2 linked regions of the Bombyx mori genome follow. The protein of the gene in region 1 interacts with the protein of each later gene in a pairwise test. Links are inferred from orthologs where the notes say so. Each region holds a gene or a part of one and is shown on either strand. Other genes may lie near its edges.

Evidence for each region.
Region 2: the proteins of U3 small nucleolar ribonucleoprotein protein MPP10 (region 1) and U3 small nucleolar ribonucleoprotein protein IMP4 interact in a two-hybrid assay, tested with the Drosophila melanogaster proteins (2 studies listed by BioGRID). The link is inferred for Bombyx mori from reciprocal best matches to the Drosophila melanogaster genes CG13097 and CG11920.

What each region holds. Positions count from the first base shown.
Region 1 is NC_085133.1:364,741-380,983, reverse strand, and holds U3 small nucleolar ribonucleoprotein protein MPP10, read left to right. Parts: upstream 1-9,126; 5' UTR 9,127-9,289; coding exon 9,290-11,008; 3' UTR 11,009-11,027; downstream 11,028-16,243. Other genes in the region: Or (nuclear orphan receptor), read right to left, coding at 140-272, 636-716, 1,160-1,270, 1,572-1,677, 2,216-2,340, 3,403-3,552, 5,354-5,477.
Region 2 is NC_085132.1:2,074,650-2,091,273, forward strand, and holds U3 small nucleolar ribonucleoprotein protein IMP4, read right to left. Parts: upstream 7,416-16,624; 5' UTR 7,132-7,415; coding exon 6,945-7,131; intron 6,784-6,944; coding exon 6,621-6,783; intron 6,513-6,620; coding exon 6,380-6,512; intron 6,200-6,379; coding exon 6,061-6,199; intron 5,822-6,060; coding exon 5,700-5,821; intron 5,397-5,699; coding exon 5,211-5,396; 3' UTR 5,195-5,210; downstream 1-5,194. Other genes in the region: NADPH-dependent diflavin oxidoreductase 1, read right to left, coding at 140-362, 1,168-1,394, 2,169-2,447, 4,717-4,937, 8,423-8,603, 9,380-9,660, 10,316-10,700.

The sequences.
Region 1 (16,243 bases):
CGCGCGTGCGGGTGCGTGCGTGCGGGTGCGTGCGTGCGTGCGTGCGGGTGCGTGCGTGCGTGCGTGCGGGTGCGTGCGTGCGTGCGTGCGGGTGCGTGCGTGCGTGCGGGTGCGTGCGGGTGCGTGCGCAGGTACGTACGGCAGCGCGGTGGCGGCGGGCAGCGCGGCGAGTGCGCGCGCGGTGGCGGCCAGCAGGCGCGCGGCGCTCTCGCAGGCGGCGTGCAGGGGCAGCGCGCCGCCGCCGGGCACCAGCACCGAGCACACCTCCATCTCTGGAAATTGTACATACTCTTGTCAACGAACATAACGATGTCAATATGTATATCTTACGGGCGGTGTTTGTGACCTCCAGTAACTAGATAGAGGTCAGGCGGAAGTGACAGCAGGAGACAATGAGCGGGTGCGTCCAGAATCGACTTTTAGATGCTACTTTGGTCTCGACTTCTCAACATAGTCGTCGTCTGCAAGCCTTGGTATCTCAATTCACCGACCGATACACACACACATTTTGAAGGCAGGGCACTCCGCCAAACATCACCGGAATTTTGATTAAATTAATTCTCAGATATGACAGGCGACGATCCCTGCCTAGCGACTAGGGTCCAGTAGTGTGTGCAAGTGCGTGCGTGTGGTACCGTCGGGGCGCGCGTCGTCGGCGGGGGGCGGGGGCTCGGGCGCGGCGCCGTACGCCGACTGCAGGTACTCGTTGATGGCTCCTGTCGATCACCACATTAAGGTCAGAACAGCATGCAGGTGCAATTAGACGATAGATAGAAATTTTTTTGACATAGTATTTTGCTGAACTAAACATCTATATATATATAAAAATGAATTGCTGTTCGATAGTCTCGCTAAAACTCGAGAACGGCTGAACCAATTTGGCTTAAATTTGGGATTTGGATTAAATACGAAAATGCTCAGAATTAAATAAAGATGACAATTTTGTTTATTCTTTGATGTGTCCCCCGTCGGACGGATTCCTTTTGTTTTTATTTTTAGTTCATTTTATACAAAAGTTTAGGTTTTTTATTTATCGATTGAGGCATTACGAAGTCTGCCGGGTCAGCCAGTAGTTAATATATGTAGTTAATTAGTAGTGTGCATAACAAAAAATATATCTCTAGATTTTTGTTATTTCATAAAAAATTTGTAGACTTACCAAACTGTCCCATTTTGAAGAGATTCTTGGCTAATTGCGTTTGCAGCATGATCTGTTGTCTGCGGGCACCCTCCATGTCGCCAGGACTGCCGGGGTTCAGGTACGGAGACACTGGATATAACCATTACTTTACTTACACACGGAACTTCAACAAACATCTGATACTTTAATTTCTCAGAGTTCATCATCATTATATATCTGCACTATTCATAGCATTACAAATTTTAAACGGTCAACAAGTGCACAAGAAGGTCCGCAGTGTGCGAGGGATGGTGACGTTTGACATCACCACCCGAACTGATGACCACGAGCACCCTGCCAAGAGTGCATATGACTAAGAAATATCAGAACTTTAAAAATATTAGTGGGTGGTAGGTGGGTAGGTAGGCAGCCCGGGGTGGTGAGGGCGCACCTGAGTTCTTGTTGAAGGCGACGGCGGCGGCCAGGGCGAAGTTGATGGCGGGCGCGGGGGACACGGCGCCGAACGCCTCGCCCGCCTCCTCCTTGGGGGTCAGCTGCTGGAACCCACAACAGCTGGTTACAGCCACGCACGCAGCTCCGCGGGGCACATCCGCTTGCCCATAGTCGCAAGAGCTTGAGGTCGGATACAATCTTAATAAAATTCAACTGAACATGTTTGAATGACTACTTGTATGAAGGTGTATGAATTCAGCTCTGAAGCCACGGCTGTCATAGAACTAAACAAATCCCACAAAAACTAGATTCGAACGACATTTTCAGTAGATTTGTGGTTTTTTTTGCACTTGTGGGCATACGGCCCACCACAAATGCCAAGCGAGGAGCCTCGCGAACGGTAGTGGGTACTCCCTCCCAGGGTGCAATGCTCGTTGTACCGTTGACGAGCGCTAGGACCCACTCCATCAGGTGAGCTCTGTATTTATTGGTAATGGCGCAAAAAATGAAAGACCAAATTATCACGCATCTTTCATACGACTGTAAGTGGTCGCTACCACTCATGTGCACCGCTCCGAGGGGCGGGTCGCTCCCAGTTCGACAGAGACTCAGTGGGAAGCGACGGCTCGTTGCCATGGTTACCTGTGCGCTGGGAGCCTGGCCCGCGAGTCCCAGCAGCTTGGAGTAGGCGGCCTGCCGGTCGGCCAGCCCGTCCCGCGGCTCCGACTTGTTCTTGTCGACGATCGGCTTCCGTTCGTGCTGGACCGCTGTCGCAAACAGTGCAAGAATTACTGCTCCACATTATTATTGTACCATTTCAATTTAACGGCCGTCTGGTGTAGTGGTAAGTGACATGGTCACTACACAAGGGGGTCGCGGCTTCGAATCCCGCCAAGGGAAGATATTTGTATGATCAATATAAATGTCTCTTCCAGGGTTATGGATGTATATTAAATATATGTATGTGTATAATAAAAATCTTACATTTATTTCCATTATCTGGTACCTGTAACAAAAGTTCTTTACGAACTTAGCACGGGACTAGTTAACGTGGTATGATTGTTAGTAAATATTTATTTATGATTATTTATTTATAATTATTTATTGGCCTGACAAGAATTTCCGAAGCAGCCAGAAGCAGTGTTTGATTTTCACGTCCTCAGAAGAAGGCTCTGAAGGACTTGGCTCTGCCTCTTGCATTACTGAAGCCCATGAGCGACGGTAACCACTCACCTTCAGGTGGGCCGTATGTTCCACTGCCTACAAGGGCAATAAAAAAAAGAAGAACCTTTTTAGAGCGTTTTTTTCCTACCTAATCACTAATAGCCAAAATGCCTATTCCAGCTAGGCTCGGACGAGTTAGTGAGCTCAAGGGCTCGACCTGACCGAATTGCTAACACTAGGCCTAACAGGAGCAGCGCTATCAGAATCCCGACCAACGGAGAAAATGCGGCGAGAAAGTCAGTGGGTTCTGTCTGTGTGAGTCCAGAGCCTGGTGATACTTTTTTCGGTTTTTATAGCTTCAGTGGATGCCGGGAGCCGTGCTTCGAAGTCTCAATTGTAACGCCCATTGATTGTCCCACTCCTGACGCTGGAAGTTACGACTCACGGCAGAAACAGACAGGACAGTGATCCGATGCACTAACATCTGATGCATTTAGCTGTAAGTTGATGGTAGTGAATTTTGATTTTTCAATATAGAAGGTAACAACATTCTTTAGAGATGTTTTGTGTGTAGAGTCCATGGTTCAATTACCAGGTAGACTTGTGTACTAATAATAACAAATATTGCTAAGAACTAAATAATAATAATAAAGAGAACAACTCACAGTCGCTCCTCATCCCGCAAGCAAGACACTTTTGCAGCCTGCAGTACTGGCACCGGTTCCGGTGATGCTTGGTCACTTCACAGTTCATAGTACCTCGACACTGGTACCCGAGCTTCTTTCTGATTGAACGCTTGAAAAAGCCTTTACAGCCTGAAAAATACAATAAGTGGAAAGTTTAACACATGAACCAAATCCAGGCTAAAGATGTATTTGAAACATAAATGAACCCATTTGGCCAAATATCTATGCTAAAACTGAAGAGTTTGTTTGTTTGAACATGCTAATCTCAGGTATTACTGTTTCGAATTGAAATAATATTAGTGTTGGATAGCCCATTTATCGAGCAAGGCTATGACATCACATTATGACCAATAGCATCAATGGAAAATATTTCAAAAACGGTTTTTATTCCTTTTCCGTAATGAAAATAAAACCTAACACCCTCCACTCCGCCTACCATGTAGCTCGCGTTCAACACATTCACACGTTGCGCTTGTGTAGTGTTTGTGAATAAGTGCGCGCGTCATGAAAAGTCTGCCCATCTCTCTCTCTCTCACGGTCTAGCTTATAAGTGTGAAGAGGACAGTTAATGTTTTGCTTTTGTTAATGTGTATAAATATAGCGTGGTCTTATTTTATTATTGTTGTAATGTTAAATTATTGTTGTGTAATTATAATTGCATAAGTTGATAAAAAATGCAATTCAATAGCTTTACCGCGGCAGTCCCCGAGTGTCACACGTGTTTTTTTTTTAAGTTGGCATACTTAAACTTTTCTAATGATAAATTGTTCTAAAATAATGCAATGCGAAGGCGTTTTTATAAAATTAAACAATTCCCAGCGGCAAACATTTCAGTACGTTGGAAAAGTCTTAACCCTTTGACTGTCATGCGGTTCACCTATGTCCTTTGTGGCGCTCTGAAGGAATCACGTCGATTTCTGTTCTATTATGTTTCACGAATACCTGCGTTTTATCTTTTAACGCTTTCACTACACCAAGCTTTGCTACAAAGTGTTTCGCAGGAAACGGAGCTCTATGCTGAAAGAACATACATCACCCGTCGTGTATAGGCGGTGTCTTTCAGTCGGTGACTATAATCATAGATAGTAGCGAAAGGGTTAAAAGATCAGAAGGGAAAAGGTAACAGCGGTAGGCAGCGGCTTGGCTCTGCCCCTGGCATTGCTGACGTCTATGGGCGAAGGTAACTACTCACCATCAGGTGGGCCGTATGCTCGTCTGCCTACAAGGGCAATAAAAATAAAATAACATTACTGAGTTACTGAGTGTTCCTTAATTAGTCTTACAGTTCCACTCTTGCTGTTCATAGCATGATGTTCAGCAGATAGTGTATTTTATGCTCTTGGTAACTTTGCATTTATCTATATTATGGAATCCTTGGACAAGATTTTCACAGAAAAGTATTGGCTTGAATAGAAACTTCGCACACTTATCAAGGACCAATGAAAAATGTGCTACTATGCTGATCAGTGTGCTTGAGTGTGCTTGTGAGTTGGAACGGCCTCCCGATGTTTGCCGCTAGGGGCGCTGTTTCAACTCCATACAAATTTGAGTTAACTTTTAGTCGATCGAGAAATTAAAAAACTCACACTAAGCACACAGGATCTTCATGATTAACAACATTACTTTTACCAATATCTGTCAATAACATTTACAACAAGTGACATCTAGCACCTGTTTTTTATTTCAGCTAGCCATAAAAGCGTGTTTTCTTTAGGTTTATCAACTTTTTTATTTACTTCATATATTTGATTGAGCCCATAGTTACCGGAGCCCATATACATGCAACTAAATTACATGAGTTAGTCTCAATTCTATTCTATCATTCATCTGACCAAGACAGGTATGATAGAAGATAGCATTACTAGCTACTATTCTATACCAAGGAGAATCACGCAAGGCAATTTTAAAATATCATAAATAAAGATTGTACCTTCACAACTAATAGCACCATAATGTCTTCCAGATGCTCGGTCTCCACAAACTATACAGAGCTCTAGTCCACCTACATCACTCCCACTGCTGAACTTCATTTCCAGCTGATCTTGACCATCCATCTATTTAATAAAATTAACAATTTGTTCAACAACGTATGTACCTCCGTACAACGTATGTACCTCCTGTGCACCAGAACCATTCATCAGATTGGGGTAAAATTTGCTATAGTTGTTTTTGGTTTCCAGGAAAAGTTTCTGTCACAGTAGCATCAAGATATGACAGGCGACATGCAAGTACTTTCAAGCAATTAATGTTCTTTAAACAATTAGCTATAGTCACAGCAAAGTGTTTCAGTTTTACCAATATTATAAATGTTTGTGAAGATGTTTGGATACTCAGTCAAACATACATCAATGAGCAGATTTAGATGAAAATTGGCACATAGATAGTCCATTTCCTGTAATAACACATAAGATACTTCGTATCCCGGTAATGTGTTCCCTTGGGATAATAATCCATCTTTAATATTTTATTTCAACAAAAGTCTAGTTCTGAACTTCATCAATCAATAAATCCCAGTAATTTGTTCCCGAGGTATAATAGTTTCATCTTAATGATAATTTAACTGGGATGTAATTTGGGAGAATTATTTGGATTTTATTACATAATTTAGAATTGACGTTTTGTTTTGTCTAAAATTATGAATGTGAAGAAATTATCAGAAAATATTTGCATGTTTTTTAATAAATCCAGCATAATCTGCTAAATGGATTTTGATAAAATATATCTTAAGAAAGTTAATGTATATGTGGGCAGAGCTGCAAGCAGAACCTAACTGATACATTTTTTTACATGTTATTTCTTCAATATGTTCAGATCTAATAGCCTTGCAGTATTTACTCATGAGGGCATTTTTAGTCAAGAGAAAGTATTTAATTTATTTTTATTTACTTAATATATGTTTAGAAGATATATTTAATTCAGTTAATGCACCAAATTAAGTGATGACCAAGTTACCGCTTGAGCCCTTTTAGGTGTGCAAAAATGGGTATATTGACCAGAATTGAGATTATATTATCAGCTAAGAATTCTTACACTGTATTCTACTTAATTTTCTAATTACTTGACACCTGACTATAGATGGTGATATACAAGAACAACCAAATATTCCTGTTCATGTAACTAAAATTCACTTTTTATATCAAGCAAACCAAAATATAATCCTATGCAAAACCTTAACATCCAGGTCAAAAATTTTTTAAGTCCCATATTTACATATCTGTAAACTAATCAAAGTATAAAAGACAACATAAAATAAAAAAAAAAAAATTCCTTGTGTAGTATCAGTAAGTATAACTTAATGGTGGATAATGCTAAAAGCATATATGTTAAGCATAATAATATGTTATTATACAATACAAAGCATTAGTATATGTTAAATTTTTCAGAATGATTTATTTCCTGAAATTTACTGCATTTCAGCTAATATTACCTCCTATTTTTAGTCATATAGACCATTTGTAAGCAAATACTTTTCATTAGTTTGTAAAAAAGAACACACGTATGAATTTTGTGTGTGGGTTAACATGTAAAATAATAAGAGATTACCCTTTTTATAAGACTAAAAAGTATAATTACGAGTTAAATACGTGGGCATCACGAAGATGGACGTATAGAAACAGCGGGCACTCAAGTGAAAAATAACAGGCTTAAACAATATACAGTTAAGCACATTACTTACGTTTTATCTGGTGATATTAAGGTAGCCTACGAAGACAAACTCAAATGAAATTAAAAATCAAAACCAAATTATAATTAATGAATATTTTATTATTTACTTTAACTTTCACAAATAAAAAAATAAAAAGGGCACACATCAAAACAATAAAATATAAATGTCAAAAGTTAAAACTTTTTTTAAGGGATTTTATGACCTGGTAACTAAGACTTTTAAGTCATATCTTATTTAAATTTATATTCTTATTTTTATGAAAAATGAAGATGATTAATTTGAGACATTAATTAACTGGGATGAAATTAAATGAGATGAGATGAGGTGATATGGGATGAAATACAATCTCAGTAAAATTGTGGTCGTTTACTAAGATTTTTTCAATGGACTTTTTGGAGGATACTGGGAAGCTACGTCCAGCAGCTTTGTTTCATTTTCCCACATTTGTGCACTTTTACAGATATTAAACAGTTAAAAAACCACCGTTATTACACATTTAAACCTGAAGAAACACCAAACAGACAAAATAAAACAATTCACACAACTTCACTCCTCGCGTTCCCGTCAAAAAGTCCATGTCAAAACTTAAAGCAACGTCGCCATAGAATAAACAAAACACCTCACAATTAGGGGTGAGGCGTATTTATCGGAACAGTCAAACGGAACAGGTTTTCTTTTCATAGGTTCGTCTATGAAAAGACTTGGAACTGTTGTCTATAGACCGAAACAACTGATCCAACTGTTCAAACTGTTCCAGCTGTTCCACAATATTCCATATGTTGCGTTGTTCCGTTCCACAGCAAACAGCCAGAAACGAAACTGTTTGGAACAAGCTCTTTTTTCTTTTCCCGTATAGAAATAGAAAAAGATGGCATATACATCATGTTCCCAAACTGTTTGTATCATGCTCTTTTCTCCTTTCACTTATTGTAATAGAAAAAAAAATAGCAATAACATTAACATGCATGCATATTCCCCTTTGGTATTAGTAAATACATTCGGATACACGCATAAATTATTATATACAATAATAAATGTACTCTGTTATATTATATATCATTTAAAATATGGTATTATTTGTAATGTCTTGCTTAAAATTTGAAGATAATATACTTTTAAAATGATTAATAGACAGTTGTTATTATGGTGGTAAAAATATTTAATTGAGTTAAAAGGCCTAGCATGTATCCGAACGCTTACTAAGTCCAAACTTCTGAACTTGTCTATTCTGTTTTAGGTCTGGCATGCTTATATGGGCTATATGTTTTAATTTAAATACATTTTGGCAAAACTAGTTTCACATATTATTAATATTAATAAACCAAGTTGTCAGTCCTAAGCCTGAGAAAGCATGAAGGATTATTTACATTTAAAAAAATGTATTGAAACCATTCCATATGTGTGACTGTTCCTTTATGTGGAATATATTCTACTTTATTTATATATTTAGTGTTTAGATGGGTGGATGGGCTCACAGCCCACCTGGTGTTAAATGGTTACTGGAGCCCATAGACATCTTGATATAAAGGTTCTAAGGTCTCAGGTACAACGGCTGCTCCACCCTTCAAACATTATTAAGCCTGTTGTAACACAACAAGCTGTTATATTGGAACAGGCTACTGGAACTGTTCTTTCAATGGAACAGGAACAGGTGGAACAGGTCTCTGATTTCATCTGTTACAGACCATCCCTACTTACATTACCATAAACTTTATTTTTTGTTGGTTGTATTGGTCCCATGGATACCAAGAGGTATAAAATATACATTGGCCCTTTTAAAACTATAGATGTGCACCATTTACTATGAACAGAACATTCTGATTTGTAATAACATTTTAGATCAAATTATTTTTTGGCGAGCATGCGAGCAATGAATTAATTATTGTAAGGTCATCACCCTCTTTACATTTTTAATGCCATATTTGATTCCAAGATTATATTTTTGCCGTGACAGATTTCTTTTAAATAGCCTATGTTTTCTTGGCCTTTCAATGGACGAATGAAAAAATACAAAAATGTCAAATAGACCAATGTGTCATTTAGTTGCCAATGCTACCATTAGATCAAACGTCAAAATAATGCACCGCGTGTGTTTTTTGGTTTTGCAGCGATTTGTTTTCTTTGGTAGTTTCAGTAATTCCGTATCTTAAATTTTACATGACACATTAAAGATAAAATTATCATATTTATTACAGTAAAATGGCTTGCATAGATTTGGAAGGTATACTTAATAAATTCAACAGTTACACTGATAAACCAGTAAAATTTTTGTCTGTGCAAAAAGAGTTGAAAGAGGACCTAAAAAGGTTTGTAAAATCGGTATACGATTACACGAAATCTCAGGAGAAGAGCGATAAGAAGAAGAAGAGTGGGGCCTTAAAGGAATTAATTGTGGAAGATTTTGATGAGGAGCAGATATGGCAACAGATAGAGCTGCAGAACTCCCAACGCTGGGACCAGATAGTGTGGGAGGTGGCCAACTCTATGAGCGCAAATAACGAATTAGTATTTCCCATAAAAGTTGCTAAAGAAAAACCCAAGGAGATCTTACCTCATGGTGTTGAACCTATGGTAGAAGATGATGGAGAAAAAGTATCTGAGAATATTGAACTTGAGCATGGCAGATCTCAACGAGTTCAAAGTGATGTACCAAAAAAGAAAACCAGGCCTTCGCAGGTGGATGACAAGTTTTTCAAACTTTCCGAAATGGAAGAGTTTTTATTGAAAGAAGAAAAAAAACAAACAAATAGAACCAAAGGTGATCGTGACAGTGATGAGGAGTCTATAGATTTCTTCGAAGATGACAATGAGGAGGAGGAAGATGAAAATGTCATGTATAATGACTTTTTTGATCAAGATGGTGCTGAAGATGGGGACTATGATATGGACCAGGAAATAGATGATTCAGTTGAAGATGAAGAAGAGGAGGTTACAGAGCAGTCAAATAAAAAAAAGCAAGTCCGATTCTCACAACCATCTATTGATGATTCAGATGACAATTCAGTTGATAGTAACAAAAATAATAAAGTAAATAGTAAAACAATTGAAGAAAAACAGTCTGAGTTTGAGCAACGCCAGCAAAGACTAAAACAACACATTCAACGACTAGAGGAAAAGACTTTGAAAGAAGCCTCTTGGCAACTCAAAGGTGAAGTGGATGCATCGAAACGTCCTCAAAACTCACTTCTTCAAGAAGTTGTGGATTTTGATTTAACAACACGTCCAGCTCCAATTATAACTGAACAGACCACAGTTTCTTTAGAAGACATAATTAAACGTAGAATCAAAGATAAAGCTTGGGATGATGTTGTTAAAAAAGAAAAGCCAGTTGATGACCAACTGGCATTCCGAAAGAAGGAAATTCTAGATCATTCAAAGAGCAAGCTAAGCTTAGCTCAAGTCTATGAGGCGGAGTACTTAAAACAGAAACAGGCAGCATCAGGAGAGATTGTAGAAGAAAAAGAACCAGAAGCACATAAAGAAATTCGAGAAGCCATGTCACAGTTATTCTCAAAATTAGATGCACTGAGTCATTATCACTACACACCGAAAGCTGTACAGCCTGAAGTGACAATTGTATCAAATACTCCAGCAATATCGATGGAGGAGGTGGCTCCAGTAGCTACCAGTGATGCAGCGCTATTGGCTCCCGAAGAAATTAAGAGAAAACAGAAAGGAGATCTTATTAGCAAAGAAGAGAGAACAAAGACAGACAAAAATAGAGAAAGAAGGAAAAAGAAGAAATTGCAGAAGAAAAAAGGACAGGTTACAAAAGTAACAGACAGCAGGAATACTACAAAGAGTGTAGAAGTCAGTGACAAATCAGTGAAGACTTCAAAAGCATTCTTTGAGCAGTTAAATGATAACACCAAGAGCTTGATTAAGAAAAATAAATTAATTAAGAATAAGGGACAATAAAATATTTTTGGCTTGTCAATTTTTTGTATTTGTTGGAACATACCATGGGTATTTATGAGGAATTAGAGCTACTATGTTTTATTCATTGCCATTGCAGGCAGGCAGTGGTAAAATATCACTTTAATCATGGATATCAGCAACAGCCTGCAGTCTACTTTTTTTATGTAACAGGAATACAGGAATACAATACAGGTTGCAGAGAAATAATGAAAGGGTCTGATATATATATATAATGCTGCTAATGATAGTGATTATTAACTTTACCATGATTAGTGGTGCTAGGGAAAATTAAGAACCCTGGGTGTTGATAGGTTTGAGGCATTAGGTACTATCATCTTGTCTATTTCTGCTGATAAAATATATTTTATGCTGTCATTTTTAGGGCTCATCCTGTTTTATATCTTATATATCATTGTAATGAAATACGTACTCAACAAATGTTCATGATTGACTTCCACGCTGAAGGAATAACATTGTGTAATAAAAATGAAACCCGCAAAATTATAATTTGCGTAATTACGGGTGGTAGGACTTCTTGTGAGTCCGCGCGAGTGGGTACCACCGCCCTGCCTATTTCTGCCGTGAAGCAGTAATGCGTTTCGGTTTGAAGGGTGGGGCAGCCATTGTAACTATACTGAGACCTTAAAACTTATATCTCAAGGTGGATGGCGCATTTACGTTGTAGATGTCTATGGGCTCCAGTAACCACTTAACATCAGGTGGGCTGTAAGCTCGTCCAACCATCTAAGCAATAAATAAAAAAAGGTTTAAAAAACCAATCACTTGAAATTGGAACGGCTTAGAACGGCAGGCTACATGTGACTAGGAGATGTATATATAGATGTATGATGTAATAAATAAAAAAAGAGGAAGAGGTCGATCGAAGAAGACACACATGGAGTGTGTGAATGACGAGATAAGAGAGAGAGTAGTCAGTGTTGAGATGACGGCTGATAGAAGAGAATGAAATAGAAAAAAATTGTGTGCCGACCCAACCTAGTGGGATAAGGTGAGACAAAGAAGAGAAGAGATTTTTAGTTTTTAGTTTTTAGATAAGTCATTCTAATCACGAATCTCTCCTTAACATTTAAAATACTTGTCTGGCAAGAGGTTGGAACTATCAAAAATGTCTAGCTAATGACGAAATGTCATCTACTTATTACCCAAGTATTGTATATAAAAATCAGCTTTTATACTATTACGTAGGTACGTACAATTATAATTTCATGAACATTAAAGGTGTCTGGCAAGGGGTTGCCACAATGTTGTGTCTGGTAATGAATAACGTGATTTTTAATAATATTCTGAAGCTAATACCAAAAAATCGCACTTTATTATTTGATCAATTTAGAACTGATCGATTTTCATTCTGATCTAATTCAAATTCAGACAGGAAAACGATACTAAAGGTGTGTAAACTCAGTATTTTACACACTTTTATTACCGTTTTCCTGCCAAAGCCACGATTACCCAAACTTCATAATGGTTCATCGTTCTTACCCGTGTTGGGAGGATGCGCTGACAAGCTTTCATAAAATAACGAAGGTTCGCGGGCTCTTGCTCTATTTGCCCTTGTAGCTTAGAGACCGTCCGTGTTATGCCGTATGAAGCGTTGTCGTATAGGAGCATCGGTGACGAGCGATTAACCAAGTCCGGTCGGAGATTCGCGACCTTCTCCTCCATCATAGTGTCCTCACGGTTCCTCACAGTACTCACCTGAAGTAACGCTGGTGAAGAAGAAGTGCTGGTGTGCTGTGATTAATTATACCGGCATTAGACCACCAAACAGTGACCTTGACTTCTTAGGGGTACCTAAGTTTTCGTTTAGGTCTTTATTTAGGTGCTGAACCAGTGTCTTACTAACATTATGACAACATTTGATTATTATTACGCGCTGGCGTTCGGGATAAATAAAAATTCTACTGAATCACAAGTTTACACTATATTCAACACTTAAAACACTTCACAAACACTTTAAAATTCTCAATTCACTTCTTTCGCTTCGCTTCAGGAGATCCGTCCGCTGTTTCGCTTCGAGTAGTTCCGATTACTGACTGACTGCGTGCCATCCCTGCAACGCTTTTATAGCTGATACCACATCCCTAGAATTATCGAGAATATTTCACATATCTCTAGTATTGTGTTTCCGCTATCTGACAATAGATGGCGTTGTACTTCTCGAGCGTTCTCGGTGCTACTATATTCTTCAATATTCGTTCGACTATTCGGCGATAGATGGCGTTATTCTTGCCGGCGTAACATCAAAAAACATCAATTTTTCATCGCAGGTGACAATGCTGTTTAAAATCCATTCGTTGCTGTGTTTGTTAAGCGACGCAAGACATTTTTTTTTTCGGCAGGGGGCCGAGCCTCCTACGAGGTGTCCGCGCCTAGGAGACACGGTCTGCACAGTCTGACGGTCTGCACTTATTGGGAGCAGACCGCGGACATAAGGAAAATTTTATGGCCCTGCCGCACCAAACCACTCTTCTTGTAAGCTTTCATCCGCCGTAGAGTTGAGGGATTGTGATATTATACCATCAAATAGATGATATTTTTCAAACAGGAAAATAAAAAAGGTTTTCCACCTTTTCGCCATTGTTTTTCTATTGTATGCAGTGTCAAAAAGAATAGCACCAAATCGGTTCAACCGTATTTGAATCAGAGAATTTTGATGTTACAGACGAAACGCGATTTTGCTAACGTGTTAGGGGTAATGTAGATTGACATCTTTAAAAAAACTCAGTTGAAATGGAACATTCGTAGTTAGGATGTAGCTGATGAGATAGGGGCTACCTAATCTCAAAAAAGTTTTGCTCCATTTGAAAAGACTAGATTTTCAAAAACGCTTGATATTTTAGAAGCACACCAGCTCACTGAAAGAAACTTAATGAATCGTGTATTCATTTGCCATTATCTATTAAAATCTAATTTTTTTTTCCTACCTAAACTGATCGCCTTGGGAGGCTATTTCAGCGTAACCTTAACTAGTAGGTGAGCTCACGGGGCTTAAACCTGACGACGTTGCTAACACGAACCCTAGCAAGAGCCGTGCTTCGCAGAATCTACCACCCGATCGGAAACACGACCCACTGAGAAGATCCGGCGAGAAACTCAGTGGGCTGTGTCTGAGGGTTAATTTACTCGTCGAGCCCTTCGTCGCTAGCGACGGGTTCGACGAGAATGATGACCGGTGCTTGAGGTACCTAAAAGCACCGTCAGTGGGTCGGGCGGATCCGAAATGACGTGTTTTGGGCAACGTCGACTGCTTTCCATTCTGTCTGCAGGATCGGGAATGATAAAATCTAATAAAACCGAGTTTAAAAAGATAGTTCAGTGGTAATGCAAAGTGGATCACCTACCAGGAGTGGATTTGATCAGAGAGATTGTGGTTTTTCATCATGATACCGTCAAATTACACACATATTTAGCCTACTGAGTTTTACGCCTGATCTTCTCAGTGGATCGCGATTCAGTGATAGATTCTGTGAAGCGTTGTTCTTGCTAGGGCTAGTGTTAGCAAATTCTCGCAGGTTGAGCCCGTGAGCTCACCTACGCGTCCGGACGCAGCTGGAATAGCCCCTTAGGCTAGGCTAAATATGTAGTATAGGCCCCTAAAATACATATTTAGTCACCCAGCAAATTTAGAAAGTGCTAGGTTGAGAAGTGCTAATAATACATTACCCATATACTTTTATCTGTTTCGGTTTCTTCAAAACTTTTAGGTTGTGTTAAGTTAATATCAGGCTGGCGAAATCAAATGTACGTAGTGATTGAAGTGCTTCATTCAAAATTTCCAAAATTCCTATAGTAATAGGATTAGTGCCTAAGTTTTTTGTAAATCTTTTTTTTTCTTATTTAGGCGAGATATGATAATAGGACTTTTTATAGGCATTTTAACTTATCTTAATTTTGATAACATAAAACGCTTTGATGCTGGTTATCTATGCCAAATCAAATGTATTTTTAGTCCAAGTTAGCAGCCGAGTACCTAGACACCACAAACTGGCTCTGAGCTGAACGGTCGCTGTTACGACACCGCTTGTAATTACGAACGAAAAACGTTACGATATGGCGCGCGACGAATCCAACCGAACAACGAAGCACGAAAAATAGGATATGCCTTTATATTTTTTAGGTTACAGGACACTTTTTTTTTTTGGTCAAGAGGAAATCGCCCGACTCCCGCCCTCCGTCCCCAGTGGAGGGCGGGGCATGTCAGAGTCGAACTGACTAAAACCTCCTGTCGCTCAACAACCAACACCCAAACCTCGCATGAGACAGAACTCATGAAAAGGCAAAGGGGGGAAAGTGAAGCGTTTAGTGCGGAGCACATCTCTCCCGTCCCCCTCGGGACGCCGGACCGGCGGTCAGGTTACAGGACACTTGGTGTAAAGCGGATATTGGATGCCAGTTGCATCGCCACCTGGAAGTCGTCTTTAGGGAAATTGCAATATACATATTATGTATATTGGCCTATAACTAACGTGACCTTTTTTTTTCGTGTCAAAGCGCCTCCGGTATTTCGTATATAAATAAATACATATATAAGGTACGTCGGGCTAAGATGTAATATTTTTTTTTACTTTTAATGTTAATGCACTGTCGATTGCACCTATAATTGAGGTGACATCTGCCATGAACTTTTGTCAATTTGTTAATGTTTTGTATTGATGATCACTTTGTTGGTGCAACTTAATAAATAAATAAATAAATAAAAGCAAAAGATATGGTTTAAAAATGACTTGAATTAATTTATTATGGTATCTTACCCTCACTGACATCTTAATTCTTATAGCAACTTACCATTAAAGCAATATTTATAAAAAGAATCGTAACAAAAAAAAAACTATAATACTTTTCTACAGCAAAATTAGAGTTACTTTACTATGTATTTTGTAATACAATAAGGATTTGGGATAAGTAAGTATTCGGTAAGTTTCTAATAAACACATGCACAACAGATAAATGAAAGCGGGACATTTTTGTTCTCGTCGGGGACAGCGGGACGGACACTCTGAAACCGGGACAATCCCGCCCAAAGCGGGACGTGTGGTAACGTTACCTATAACCTAACGGCTAGCGCATTGACCTCGACTATTATTTCAATCTTGTGGTAGGTATCACATTTTGATGCTGATGTTTAGGTTAAGTTACACGTGGAACTCTTTGCCGAATCCGACGAGTGCGGTTACCGGGGCCCCAGGGCTGCTCCTAGTGTTGGAGCTGAAGGCG
Region 2 (16,624 bases), on another chromosome or scaffold:
ATAACGCCATCTGTCGCTCGATATGCGGACCACGGGCTCCCTCTACCTCAACACATAGAATCCAGTGAATTGTTCAGTTTTGATCCGTCGTTGGTAACCTTGTGAAGTCCGCGATGCTACCCATCTGGAGTGCCAGGCATCACCAGGTCTCGACCTGGAGTCGACCTTGCTCCTGCAGGCTGCGCACGGCGTCGCTGCTGGCGGCCGCGCTGGTCCCGGAGCACACCCGGATGACGTCAGCGAGCGCCTCCCGCACGTTGTCCGGCATGCTCTTGGCGTTGCCGGATATGAACACGTGGGCGTTGTTGTTCAGCAGTCGCCAGATCGTCTCGCGGTTCTCGAATATCTTGTGCTGGACGTAGCTGTGGAAACGAGACCTCTTACTGGTGGTGACTTTTTGGCGGAAACGCGAGGAGTTTTTACTGGTGGTAGGACCTCTTATGAGTTCGCACGGGTAGGTACCACCACCCTGCCTATTTCTGCCGTGAAGCAGTAATGCGTTTCGGTTTAAAGGGTGGGGCAGCCGTTGTAACTATACTGAGACCTTAGAACTGATATCTCAAGGTGGGTGGCGCATTTACGTTGTAGATGTCTATGAGCTCCAGTAACCACTTAACACCAGGTGGGCTGTGAGCTCGTCCATCCATCTAAAAAATAAAAAAAAGAGACAGAGTGTTGGTACAAAGCGTGCACAGCGACGCGGTGCCGCCCCCAAGCCGAGAGGGACACCTGTATCTGGCCAGAGGTCGCACGTAGCATTGTCCCTCCATTGACTTCCCTACTCCTCAGTAAAGAGGTCGATAACTAATAAGATATTATATTCTCCTACCACCCGATCCCCCATCTGTACTGTGGCTAAGACACATTACGAGCCCACACGGCCGATGCCAGTATCTGAGTAGTTATTTCTGCTTCGACAGTACTTATTCGTCTTGATTATAGGGGCGGTACAGTCGCCATCAAAAATCTTATTACATTATTAATAAAAAGTGCTCCAGTAATTGCTCCATTTATTTGTAATAACATTGCGTACAGGGAGACGCGTTCGTCAAACACAATTTTAGGCTCCGGTGTGTTGAGAGTTGTCACACCGACGACCCTCAGTACTACGATCACTCCCAACAATACTACCGAAGTGGTGAACAAATATAATTATCTCCAACTCACATCTTATCTTCCTGGTCTCTAGAAAAAGCGCAGTACAAACTCAAGTTCCCATCTCCCACCATCCCCTCCAACTCTTCCCTGCAGTGGTAGTCCTTCTCTTTGTACCGACACCCGAAGAACAGATGCATGATGTCCTTGGACGCTGTGCCGTAGTGAACCCTTTCTTGGAGCAAACTCCTGAAGGGAGCGAGCCCCGTGCCTGGCCCCACCATTATGTGAGGCACGCTCTGAAAGCCACAAACAGTTATTGTAGTGCTGAATTTTCAAATATTTAAAATATATTAAATAAGTTATTCGTAATATAAATTAAAATGTAATTTATTTATTTATAGAAGTCGTTTTTAATTTATTGTATAGTTTAGCTTATTTATTTTAAAAAAAAAATCTTTTGATTGAGGACAGCTGTTTACAATACAATCTTGATACTTTAATGGGTGGCCTATGGGCTCAGGTGACTTCTTTACATCAAATAGGCCTTGAACTCTTTAACCTGAGCAAGAATGAAACCTACAATAATATGAGCATTCACCTTTTTTTCCCTACCTATTCTAGTAACTTTGAGGGGTTATTCTAGATTCACCGAACTAGTAGGTGAGCTCAAGGGGCTCAAACCTGATGTTGTTGCTAACACGAACCCTAGCAATAGCAGTGCTCCGCAGAAACTACCACCGGGTTGGAAACGCAACCCACTGAGAAGATGAACTGGTGAGAAACTCAGTGGATTGTGTCTATGGGTTCATTTACTCGCCGAGCCCTTCGTCGCAAGCGACGGGTTCGATGAGAACGACGACTGGGGTAGCCTAAGGCGTTGGCATTTTGAGCCCTTCAGTTACTATGCCATTTATTATGGCACTTTTCTTTTTAACTGTACTTTGGCGCGCTGTCTGGACAAAGTACAGTAGATTGGGGGAAATCAGGACGCTTTCCAATTCCAATACAAATTTTTTGGGCGACCTCGACTGTTTACCATTCGGTCCGCAGGATCGGGAATGAGCACTCACCGCATCATCAGGAAAAACAAAGGTCCCCTTTTTGATCCACCCGTAGACCTTGTGACCGGGGGGCAGCGCCGCGAGCCAGTTGGAGGCGAGGCCGAGGCGCGGGCGGCGCAGCGCCGTGCGGTACCGGACCGCCGCCACCAGCAGCTGCAGGCCGCGCCCCGCCGCCGCCGCGCCGCACGCGCTCGCTATCGAGAACGAGCGCGGCTTTATAATCGAGAACAACTCGAACAGCGTCTGTATGGTGAGCCGCGCGGCCGAGCGGTGGAAGTCCTGCAGCACCTGCGAGCACAAGACACTTACTGGTGGTAGGGTAGGTACCACCCCCCGGTGAAGGTCAAGGGGTGATCTGAGGGGGTAGAGGCCGCGCGACGCGCTACCTGCACTTTAGCAGCTGCCAAAGAGTATCTATAATAGAGCAACCGATTGGCGATGTATCGCGTCCCGACTCGGCAGGCTGGTTTTGGTCCAGCGGGGTATTCCGGGACACCAGCGGCACCGTCTGGGCGGCCTGACGGGCTGCTGTACCGAGACGGCCGACGTTTCTGAGCAGCCTCGAAGGCTCCGTCGGCCGGGCGTCCTTGGGGTGAGCTGCGCTGTCTGGTTGTAGTGTTGACCGCGGTAACCCCCCTACCTCATGCGCGTTCTAACCTCGGAGAGGATCGGACGCTTGGGCGAAGAGTGCAGGGAGTCGTTTAGTGAGTGGGCCCTAAATTGCCTTGGGTCCGCGCGCTCCCTAGGCGCGGGGACTTCGCCCTCGCCTCGACCTCGTAGGTGGTTCGGCCCCGGCCCGAACAAAAAAAAAGGGTAGGTACCACCATCCCAACTATTTGTGCCGTGAAGCAATAATGTGTTTGAGTTTGGTTTGTTTTGAAGGGTGGGGCAGCCGTTGTAACTATACTGAGAACTTAGAACCTATATCTTAAGGTGGGTGGCGCATTTACATTGTAGATGGTCTCGTCGTGGTCGTGGTAGATGACTATGGGCTCTAAAAATCACTTAACACTAGGTGGGCTGTGAGCTCGTCGACCCATCTAAACAATAAAAAAAACCTATACGCACACACGGTTAGAGTGAGCTCAGAAATGTCCTAACGTTGGCAAAACACCCTGTATATACCAAGGCAAACATTCATGCGCTTAAGAGCACCGGTGGCTCATCATACGAGACTTCTTGTCGAACCGTTCGTTTCGATATCGAGTAGAGGGAACTCGTTCTCGTCCCCGTCATCTGACTGCCGGAGTCCCGCAAGGCTCCGCACTCTCCCCGTTACTATTTAGTTTGTATATCAACGATATACCCCGGTCTCCGGAGACCCATCTAGCGCTCTTCGCCGATGACACGGCTATCTACTACTCGTGTAGGAAGATGTCGTTGCTTCATCGGCGACTCCAGACCGCAGTAACCACCATGGGACAGTGGTTCCGGAAGTGGCGAATAGACATTAACCCCACGAAAAGCACAGCGGTGCTATTCAAAAGGGGTCGCCCTCCGAATACCACTTCGAGCACCCCACTCCCCAGTAGGCGCGTAAACACCTCCGCCGTTAGCCCCATCACTCTCTTTGACCAGCCCATACCGTGGGCCCCGAAGGTCAAATACCTAGGCGTCACCCTCGACAGAGGGATGACATTCCGTCCCCACGTAAAAGTCGACTCTACCCAATGCTTTGTAGACGAAGCAAACTGTCCCTCCGTAACAAGGTAACCCTCTACAAAACTTGCATACGCCCCGTCATGACGTATGCAAGCGTAGTTCGCTCACGCGGCCCGCACCAACTTGAAACCCCTTCAGGTTATACAATCCCGATTCTGCAGGATAGCCGTCGGAGCACCATGGTTCCAGAGGAACGTGGACCTCCACGATGACCTGGAGCTCGACCCCGTCAGTAAGTATCTACAGTCGGCATCGCTGCGCCACTTTGAGAAGGCGGCACGACATGAGAACCCTCTTGTCGTGGCCGCCGGAAACTACATACCCGATCCTGTAGACCGTTTGGTAAACCGTCGACGTCGCCCAAAGCACGTCATCACGGATCCTCCTGATCCATTAACGGTGCTTTTAGGCAATACAAGCACCGGTCACCGTCCTCGCCGAACCCGTCGCTTGCGACGAAGGGCTCGACGAGCGAATTAACCCACAGACACAGCCCACTGAGTTTCTCGCCGGATCTTCTCAGTGGGTCGCGTTTCCGATCCGGTGGTAGATTCTGCGAAGCACTGCTCTTGCTAGGGCGGTGTTAGCAATTCTCCGGTTTGAGCCCCGCGAGCTCACCTACACAAGCTAGGGTACGCTGAAATAGCCTCTCAAGGCTATCAGCATAGGTAGGAAAAAAAAAAAAAAAAAAAAGCACCGGTGACCACTGTATATCAGCTAGACTCACATCTCTGGCTGGGTGGATGTATTTTCGTTATTATAAGGGTTCAAATAATCTTTTAAAATCAGATGAACCCTCTCGTCACTCGTCTAGACAATTAAAAAACCTGAACACTTCACGTGGGACACGTCCCATTGCGTGCGAATATTTAAAATATATCATTTAAATTCTCACTTCTATAACGGTTCTCTTCGTTCTCCTACAATAATTCAGCCAGTCCTCCTGACCCTCTGGGGAACTGAGCTCTATACATTTGTCCCTCTCTAACTTGTCCTGGGACACAAGTGCCAGAATGGAGAAAACATACTGAGTGGCGTAGCATCGCAGGTCCCAATACTGTTCGGCCACTTCGTATAAAGTCAAGGGGTGACATAGGAACTCAGGCACAGGCATATCTGGAAGGATATTAGTAAGACTGATAATTCAACAAGCTCATCTCTCATCAGATTTTAAGCGATCACCTTTGTGGGTTTATAAGTAAAGACTTCAAAATTAACTCTGATTGTGAATGCCCAATACTGATAGGACCATGTAAATTTCAAGATGATACAAAGTGATATTAAAATAGAGCCGATTAATGTTTCCTTCAAAATTAGTGTCATTCTTGTCTTATAAAAATACAGGACATGTTTTTTAAAGTAAAAAAACTTCATTATATATCAAAATATTTATTCATCTTGTTGCCATCCATCATCATCACTGAGGAAGCGTCTCTTGGCAGCCGTATTCATGTAGGGGCGGAGCGCCCACTCGGTGTCGGCGGCCGTCAGGGATTCCAGGGTGCCGAGCTTGATCTCATATAACCTCATTTGGAAACGTGGACCCACTTCTGTTAATTCAATATCCTTGCCTGCCTGGAAATCATGATATACATATATGTATTGTTATTTTTTTATATTACAAGTTGTTATAAAATAAGCATGCTCTAATACCTAATGTAACCGCATGTCACTAATACCTATGTAATATATATATAAAGTCAAAACAGTCAAAGCCAAAACTATTTTCTGTAAATCAACTGTTTTTCATAAAAAACATTTGAAAATAGACTTTTTTCAATCCAAAAATAAATAACAAAGAAAAAGAGAAAATGTGATTTAAGACAAGTCTTGAGATCAACATGTCAAAAAATTATAATTATAACTAATGCTGAATACCTTTTTATATGTATGTTGCCTGAAGCATATGTAATCATCATGGTTCGCAAATGATATAACTCTCTTTGAATCGGGTTTTGGTACAGGAAACAGGTACTTTAATATACTCATTGTACGTAAACCTGGAATAAGTATTAAAAATAGATTTATTCAAGCTGATAGGAGAATAAAGAAATAATAATTTAATGTTTCTAATGGGTAAGTTTAAATTATTGCATGGAGTTTTAAATTAATATTTTTTGTTAATTATATTTCAGACAAAACAAGATTCTAGACTTCAAGATTGAAATAAACAGTGGTATGAAACTTTGTGGGTTTACAACATACCTAAAAAAAATTAATATAGATGTTTCTAACTCACCAAGATTACTCTTAAAGTTATGGAATATGAGATGTGGATACTGTTCACTCATTGGTCCTATATCAGGTATATCATGTCTCATCACAACACCCGATAATGTGAAGGATGCTGTTGGACCATATGGGAGGTGGCATATTACCTTAAAACAAAGAAAAAAGTAACGATCTGTCAAATTATGCTATTAAATTAATTTGCATAATTTATTTAAAAAAATTACATTGTTTGTGCTAAATGTTGTGTTATTATTATTACAATATATATTTTTTTAATTTTTACTGTTTTCCAAATTCATTCCACCTAAAACATAATCTAAGCTCACCAAACTGTCTGGAACTCCTCGATGCTCGTGTACAACTATGAAATCTGTTACATCATTGGCTCGACAGGCATGAATCAATTGTGACATCTCATAACCACCTCTGTTCATACGCTGACTGTTCGGAAATATTAACCTAAAACATTGTATTTAAGCTATAAATTTAATCAATAGGCACAAACCAAAAATAATTGGCTGAAAAACAGTTGTTCCATGCTTTTCAATAATTCTGTAAAAATCTCACCTCAGTTCTTTTACAAACATCTTGAGCCTAGCACTAGGCTCTCTTGATGTGGTAATCATGATCTTCGGATCCTCGACACCTGCATATCTGTATTCATCATCCTGTGAATTGAGTGTGTTTGCCCCACCACTGAATCCTCCGATTACCGCCACTCTTTCCGGTCCTAAAGATTGAAATACATGCTAAATTTATTCAGTATTGCCGATTCTATTCTCCAAATTTGGAGATTTTACCACAAACTTAATTAAGGAAATTCGCCTTTTATTTGCAATTTGAGGTTAGGACACACAAGTTTTGATGTGAAATTTTCAATACTTTACTTACCTTTATCTTCATATTCAATTCTCTTCTGTAAGGCGATGGCATCCTTCCGTAAATCACCATGTATAGGTATATTCTCTTCAAGACTACGTTTGATCTGATCTTTTTTAGCTTGTATACTTTTTTGTTTTTCTTCAGCCGATTTCCGGTATAAATACTCGCGGCGTAATCGCGCCTGTCGTCGCAGCATTTTTGGTTTGTCGTTACTATAGTTGAATTCGATAACTAATTTTACTTTTGTATAAATTTAATGTTTCAAATGTTTGTTTGTAAAAAGCTACAAAAAACGCGGGTGACAATTGACAACTGACGTTTACGCACGTGTTGTTTTTTGTGATTGACATTTGGCGTTTCGTTTTTGCTATGTAATAGAATTTTATTACAAGTTAAAATAACTTGCAACACAAATGAATAGACCTTAAGATGTTTTGTTTGGAACAAACCGGCCACGAATTAATTGTCTGCAGTTTTTTTTTATCTATAATTTATTTTATATTTATTTTATTTTTATGTTAAAGGTACCAGGACATAAAATCCCAAAAAAAAAAACATTTGAATGTACATTGAGGATTAGTTTTCCTTTAAAAATTTTGTCCGGGGAAACCACAGTGGTGTCATGAGCATATCTCCGAAATTTCAAGAAAGTAAGGGAATAGGGTTGAGAACGTATAAGAACTAATGAACTGATGAGATTAGTAACACTAACAAATTATAATTTCTCGATATGCGAAGAACGGCCGGCGACTACCCAAGTAATCCGAATTAGCGCGCCGCCGCAAAGTGGATGCATTTTTATGAGACGTGCGGACGGCACTTTTAAGTTCAAAACAATTTATTTGACTCTCTTTTTTAATTGCTGGCTGTTTATTTATTGATACTCATCTCAAATTTGCTTTCATGCATCAATAATCTCGATAATTTTCTCTCATAATGTCGTAAGATATAGAATAAGCTACCAGAATGAAATATTGTGATACATATTATTGACATTTAAAAACATACTATCCAGCCACAACTATTCTATAGGAAAAGCATCTTGTAAGGGGACAAGTTGAAAAAGTGTCCACCTGTATACAACAAGTTATTGTTGGAAGACTCACCAAAATAGTGCTAGTGTAGGAAATGGAAGAGATATGAATATAGCAGACTTAAAACAGAGTGAAGTGTGCTGGATTAAAGTGAAGTGGGGTAGTATAGAGTGCTCTTTCTAAAATCCTTCCACTTGCCACTATGGTGCCACCTTAATTAACTCTCTTTCAGTGGACACTTTTTCATACACTGAGATGGTGCTCCTTATTTCTACTCCCTTCTATAGAAGTATTTATACATAAAGATCAATTAATGGTGGACAATTAAATATAAGCAATTATTAAATGTTCTGACTGCCAGAGCACAACACATAATAAGATTATTTTACTCAATTTAAATCAATGTTTTAACATGTTTAATTGTAATCTTTTATTTCAGATAAAAATGCTTACCATCATGATATTCTTCAACTAGTAATCTATAATGGGGCTTAATATCAATATTGTTACTTTCAAGTATGTTAAATAGGTCATCAATGTCCTCCTTTGAGTTCCGAGGTCTTATATTGAAAACATCACCAGGTTTGTAGGTTAAGCATTTACTAACAGATTTGAATGATATTAGTCTTACATCCTAAAAAAATAGATCTATATTATTTATATGTAATCACAATTTTACTTTTTTTTTTGTTTCTTAGATGGGTTAACGAGTAACAATGCTTATTATTTAATATGAGTAACAAAAACACTTAGTTACTGATAAATTGGTCTAATTATTTATTAGGTCCAAGCCCACACAAGTGGATGCTGCCATTAGGCTCATGTCTTTCATGGAACCACCCATTCCAGTTTCAACGGTTATGCTATAAGAACGAAATTGAAGCAAATCCTTTCTTCACCTTGTAGGGCAATAGCATTCACTTATCCTGTCTATGGATTCTAATAACCACCTAATATTAGGGTACAAGCACTATCTTGAGACCAGTCTTGTCGAAAAAAAGGCAAATAATAACAATCATGTCAAAACAAACTAAATGACTAAAATAATCATAAATAAAAATTTACAACATTTTATAACCTTGTTAAGAGTAGTGTAAAACTTATCAATTTGGCACACAAAATTTTGAGTCATTGATAAGAAGATCAAATATCACTTTGTAAAGATTCAGTCATGATTACATTATATATGATACTTTAATTCTATTGGTTTCTATTTCTAAGTAACTTAAATTGTCATAGATAAGGATTTTATTGAAAGAGTTTATAGCTCTTCTAAGGATCACAGAATCACATTAGCTAGTCAATATGTTTCACCCTTTAAATAAGTATCTCTCCCTCCATTGAAGTTTTTAAAAACACTTATAGGTCTACAAGAAAAGGCACTTTTCATAACATTGAATAATGAAGTACCTGAAAATGAGATTCATCCGTAGTTCTAACATTACTATCCACCTCCAACAACAAAGCTTCTTGGTTATTGCTGTTTTCGTGACCAAAATATATATCTTCACAAAATCCACTTTTAACATCAGCTTTGTCCTTCAACATAGAGACCTTCCAACGAGGAATGAATTCTGATTTTACATCTGTCTGTATACTCGGAAAATATTCTTTGAGTCGTACAAAGTATTCTTTGATCCATGGGGAAACTACACCATCGTGGCCCAGGTCATGTTGGTAGTCACATAAACCTACAAATGTTGTAAATACTTTATTATTATGTTCAAGGGGTTCTACGTAATCATCTGGTCAGTATCAATAACTTTGCTAAGAATATTTGCTATTCGAAGTCTAGGGATATTTTCCCTTGTCTTATGTGTTTGCAGTACCAAAGAACATATTTGCTTAAGTTTTTTTTTTTTTTTTTTATATTGCTTAGATGATTGGACGAGCTCACAGCCCACCTGGTGTTAAATGGTTACTGGAGCCCATAGACATCTACAACGTAAATGCGCCACCCACCTTGAGATATAAGTTGTAAGGTCTCAGTATAGTTACAACGGCTGCCCCACCCTTCAAACCGAAACGCATTACTGCTTCACAGCAGAAATAGGCAGGGTGGTGGTACCTACCCGCGCGGACTCACAACAGGTCCTACCACCAGTAAAGTAGTTGAGTAAGGATATTTTTTGTTACAATGTTCATGCAGTTACAGATTAGAGTTTAATAATATGCCATCACAATGTTTAATTTTGTTTTTTTCGTTCAGTTCATTGTTTTTATGTGTAAAATTATTTTATCTTTTTTATTTTAAAAAAAAAAACGCAAATGAATAATATTCATCTTACTTAATAAAAAATAAAGTTTGATTCAGAAGTTAAAACGGCTTATATTTTAAGTACTTACCAACATCTATTAATGGTCTGGCTCCTAATTGAATGAGGCGCTTGTGAAGCTTCTTAGCGACAAAATTGAACTCTGAATATGAAGAATCTCCTAAGCCCAACACTCCAAATTTCAATTTAATTAACGAATTCGCCGGTAGATTTTTCCTCAACAGAAACTTCCAGAATTTCTTCATATTATCCGGTTCATCGCCTTGACCCGTCGTAGCGCACACAAATATCGCAAATTCTTCATGAATCAGCATAGAAATGGGATACTCGTTCATCGCTTGAACGGGCCCGCGAAAACCCAAAGCTTTTGTCGTACGCCATATTCTTTCGGCTATTTCTTGAGCCGTGAATGTTTGACTACCGTACAGCACCGTCAGTCTGCCTATTTGACACATAATTTATTAATGAAATTGAAATTAATGAGAAAACTTTAAAGAACTTTATGGAAACGATAGTTCTGAGCGGTTTACTCCATTGTCAAAATAGTAAAAATGTCAAATTCTTATTCGTTTGGCAGATTTTATTTTGGCGTTTAGTTGTCAAACGTTTTGTTATCATTCTGGCAAAAACCCTAATCGGGGTGAATACCACAAAATCCAATTTGCGCATGCATTTAGTATTATAGTGCTCTCTACATCTACATTAAACGGAAATAATACAAACACTTTCCGAAAATTCTTAATGTATTGGCAGTAGTCTTTATTTAAACGCTTTATAAGACCTTTTGGTGCGGCATTGTTGGTGCGGCCTTTTGGTGAGGCATTGACGAGAGTTCGTGAATATAAATTTGTGTTGATAGGCTAAGTCAAAGAATTTCCCCTAAAAGGCAAGATATATAAGACCTTAATAAGACCTGCCGTCTTGTATAGATCAGCTTGTTGGACCACTAAAATGGCGGATGAAAGGCAATTGCATGCAGCAGAGTACAGCTGAGAAGTGCGCGTTTGGAATGGTATGGACATGTGATGAGACAAAATGAAAATGAGGTTGGTAAGAGAATGTTAACTATGAATGTGGAAGGATATAGAGGAAGAGGTAGACCTAAGAAGAAATGGATGGATTGCGTGAAAGACGATAGAGGAGTATGGAAGGAGAAAAAATGTTGCGCCGACCCTAGGTGACTGGGAGAAGGGCAGGAGAATGATGATGATGATGATGAGGCTAAGTCAAAAAATTAAGGAATATAGAGTGGAGTGGGTCTTTAATGTTTTGTAGGTCGATATTCCTATCATTTAACAGGACGAATACAGGTGAAGGCGAACTATTGGCGCGCACTACCTATGTAGTTTTAGGACTATTAGGTTTCGTCGAACTGGAGTAATAGAGCTTGATTGTTACCCCACTCTACCAGATACCCAACCTTAAACGAACTCCCCGGCGTTAAAAAAAAGGTCGATATTCTTGTCGATTGTTATTAAATCAAAGCCTTGAATAAATTGCCTGATTTTTTTTATTTCAGAAAACAAATTTTATTTATTATGGATGGCGTTGATGTTACACTACATCTATCATTGAAAATATTGAAAATTGTAGCTGTTAAACTAAGCCCCAAATGGCTCTTGAATTTTGTAAAGTTTCTTTAGAGTGAAATGCTTATAATGACTGTCTTGACTTGGCTTATTACTGGTTTTCGGTATGGCCTTCACTTTAGGCGCATCCTGGATACGAAACAAATAAATTTTCTAAATGAATAAAGAACAACAGCAACATTTAGTTGAACAAAAGTAAAGGACTTTTCTCTTCCGATTCTTCTAAAACACCAAGGAAGCTTCAAAAAACTTGCACGATTTTATTAAAAGCACATAAAATAATAAAGATATCCTAAAAAGTCGAGTAATTAATAGCCGCAAACAAATTGATAAAAAAATTGCTTTTAGATAGTCCAGTTTACGTCTTGTATTACATAGGTCTCGAATTTTGATCGTGCAGTAGACAACCCTAGTTCCACCCCGTTCAATACGGCAATCTTCTTTGTCATTCCTATTACCGATGTGATTTCCCATCTTGCTCACATCCGGCGCGCGGCAGTCTCGCGGCCTGTGTTTCAGTGCACACTCGCTCCTCAAGAAAAGAGCGGGAAAATATTTATATAAAATTAAATAGGCAGTGTAGTGTTTTTCGACTCTACGAAATGTGAGTATTTTATCCTTTTAATTTGGATTTACAATTTTAAATTGCACATTTATTAAATAAAACATTATAGATAATTAAAAGTAATGTCATTTAATGAAAATTGGTAGACGCTTTGTTATATTATGTTATATTGTTATATTAATCAATATAATTTTCTAAAGAATAAACGTGGATTATCAATAAAACGCTGTCAGTAGACCGGGCGGTGTACACACGTAATTCCTAATAATTATTTCGTAAATTCATGGAACATACATATTGAAAGCTGTTGGGACAAAAATGTATTTAATAATTTTAATATTCAGTTTAAAACGTTTAAGCTACTGATTGTTAAATTTGAATTATAAAATGATCCGAATGTGTCAATTTATGCAAGGAAAGAGTTTATTTAGTTGAAAAATAATATGAGTACCATTAAGGAAATTTAAACACATGGAATGATATTTATTAGCGAGTTTATTAATATCTTCAGTACGTTTAGAATCGAGCTTATCGTAATTCGTATGATGATTATTATTTGAAAAATTCGGACAATAACATATATCATATTTCTATTGGTAATAACATATTTCTATTTATCATACGAAAGAATATTATGTTTTCATTACAATCATCCTATAGGATTAGCAGAATATCGAGAGTTGAAATTTTTAAAAATTGGATTTAGATTAAGGAAAAATGTAGATGAGTACCGTCCTATTCAGATCCTTTTTTAACTTCATAGATAAATTAGCCTATTGTCCACTTAAATGCAAATAGTTAACGTTATTCATGGACATCACTAAAAGCATGTCAAAAGCGCTGCATAATTTTACGGACTCCGCCAAAAACTTACCTGATTTCTTTGATTGAATTTATAGAAATGCCTTGAAATTCTGAGGGATCTAAATACAAATTTTGGTTTTCTAATATTATCTAAAGTATTTTCCCGCCAAATTTGGCCGTTAAACGCAATATATCTAGAGATGTTACGTCAGCAGAGCACGTGGCTTCATCGATTTACCCCCACTCCACACGACCCTTGCGTCTGAAATGTCTTTTACCTTTGACCTCAGTTTTCAAATGATTATATTTTTGGTGTAATAATAATTATTTTAAGTATCGAACTTTATAAAATTACATATTGAATTTAATTTGAAAATAAATAATCAACGATTTAGAGTAGAATGAGTAACTACTTAATCTACCATAATCTTGATACTTCTGAGGGTTTCCCGGGTCACAGAAACACTGCTATGGCTTAATCTTGCGTATCAGTGCTTTTAATTAAGTATTCTGTTCTTCATCGGTTATAAATAAAAATCTGTGAAGACGCTTAGTTAAAATTAAAGATTGTGAAGAAAGACTTTTTCTTTTTTTATTTTAATTTTCAATTTTGCCGTACATAATGGCTTTGAAGGTACAGAAAAATGAAAAGTTCAACAAAAGCTAGCCAAAAGTTGCTGGCTGGCTAGATTTTGGAAGCTCTGGGTCTGCGGAGGGACTTCGGTTCCCTTTGTATTTTGTACCGTATGTCCCATGGGGAGTGCTCGTTTTTACCATCGCACCGCCCGCCACCGGAGTAGAGTTCATCCATATTACCTAGAGCCACTGCGGTCATCCTCAGTGCGTTTCCAGAGGACTTTTTTGCCACATACCACCCGGCTATGGAATGAACTCCCCTCCACGGTGTTTCCCGAGCGCTATGATATGTCCTTCTTCAAACGAGGCTTGTGGAGAGTATTAAGTGGTAGGCAGCGGCTTGGCTCTGCCCCTGGCATTGCTGAAGTCCATGGGCGACGGTAACCACTCAGCATCAGGTGGGCCGCATGCTCGTCTGCCTACAGGGGCAATAAAAAAAAAACCAATTGATATTTGAAGCTGATAAATCGCAAAATTTAGGCAATTTCCACTTTAATATCGTAATAACTCACGGAACAGTGTCCATTGGAACAAACCTATTAGGCTTACAACAATTACGGTCTAGAAAACAAGCGACCTTGATATAAAGATATATCTAAATTACATTCGCGTTGACTTTCTAAAACAATCAATTGTTGCGATTCAATTTGTTGTGTGCAAAGTACCTACTTCGTTACTGTTTTAGATTTGCATCGTAGTATTTCGTCTACAATATTGAAGTAAGTATACTCAATAATCAATACATGTCCGAATATATTTTTTATTGAAATAATTAATTTATTTTTAATTTAAGTCAAACTCTATAAACTATATTCAAAAGTTATAGGAAAAAAAAAGAAAAAGGTAACAGGAAAAAAGTATCGGTTATCTGAAATGCATTAATTATAAAAAAAAAACTAAACATATTACGCGCCTTTTTTTGAAAAAAGAAAAAAAAACCAAACATATATTGCGTTTATTGTATACGATCAAATTTATTATCACAGAATCAATTTACCTACATAGAATTCTTTAAATTTTTTTTAGTGTCACAATTTTCCCGTTTATTATTTTATTTATTTATTTATTTATTTATTTTTTATTTAATACATTTTGTACACACAGCTGTTAGAAAAAAAATACACGCCAATAAGGATACAGAGTACAAAGGCACTACTTATTTCATGTTGAAATCTCTTCCAGTAGGCCCGCAAAAGGAAAGATGAATTAGGGACACAAACCTAGTGCATACAGTAATAATAATAATATATACATATTACAAGATACAAAACAATATATATATATATATATATATATATAATATATACATACAAAAATGTTTTTTTATTTAACGTTAACATTAACAGTACCTAAGTTCAAACATATTAAATACCATCTCATTACAAAAGATTAAATGCTAACGGGTCATTTGTATATAAATGTATTAAGAAATGTGACCTTGGATATCTAAAAAACTAGAATGTCTAAGACGCTCCGAACACAGAACGAAAATTATCTGATCTACCCGGTTGTTACGTAATGAATTAGTGAAAGTTATATTTAGGTATTTAGTTCAAGTTTGAAAGGTGTCTTACATTTAGAATAGGTAGTTGAAAATATGTAACAACATTGAATATGAATGAAAATTAATTTGTAGGTCAAAATTTTTTTAATTGCCGTATAGGCAGATAAACTTACGGCCCACCTGATGGTGAGTGGTTACTGTCATGGACGTCAGCAATGCCAGGGGCAGAGCCAAGTCGCTGCCTACTCTTTAATACTCTCCACAAGCCCCGCTTGAAGAAGGACATGTCATAGCGCTCGGGAAACACCGTGGAGGGGAGCTCATTCCAAAGCCGGATGGTACGCGGCAAAAAGATCTTACAATGTTACGTGGTAGTACGTGGCAAAAAAGATCTTAAAATATTAACGGCCGTCTGGTGTAGTGGTAAGTGACATGGTCACTACACAAGGGGGTTGCGGTTTCGAATCCCGCCAAGGGAAGATATTTGTATGATAAATATAAATGTATTTTCCAGGGTTATGAATGTATATTAAATATATGTATGTGTATAATAAAAATCTTACATTTATTTCCGTTATCTGGTACCTGTAACACAAGTTCTTTACGAACTTATCACGGGACCAGTTAACGTGGCGTGAAAGCTTAAAAAAAAAAGCGTGAATGAAAACGAACGCGTAAAAAATACGCAGAAGATTAATGTGAATGAAATTTAATTGCAGCTACAAATACGTCAAACATAAATCGGAAGGGGGGGGGGAGTTGCTACTGTTATATAATGCAATTGATACTTGCGATTTCATGTCTCATTTTGGATGCCGCATTCACGATCAGCTCTTGCACTAGACGCCTTCAGCTTAACAATCAGAGATTCCGGTAATCGTACCTACTCGTCGAACTCGGAAAAGAGTTCGACGTGCAACCAAACTATTGGATCAGCCCGCTGAGTTTCTCATTAGAATCGAATCGAAGAATAGAATAGTAGAAGAGAATAATAGTAGTAGATTCATTCGCGAAGTAGTGGCTCTTGAGTTATTAGGTCTCCTTTGAGGGCGCTCGGGCAGCTGTTAGCAAATCCCACCCCTCCTGAGCCATTGCTCGCCCACCTATCCTGGTGAAACTGTAAAGGTCTCTGGGTCACCAGTAATCCGTCTTTCATAAAAAAAAGGTATTCACGTTGCGATATCATGGCCTCCTATACCTATCAGATCCAATAACAGCAGAAGAGCAGTAAGCTAATTCACTAATATACGCAATAAACACAAAAGTCACTTCACGAATACT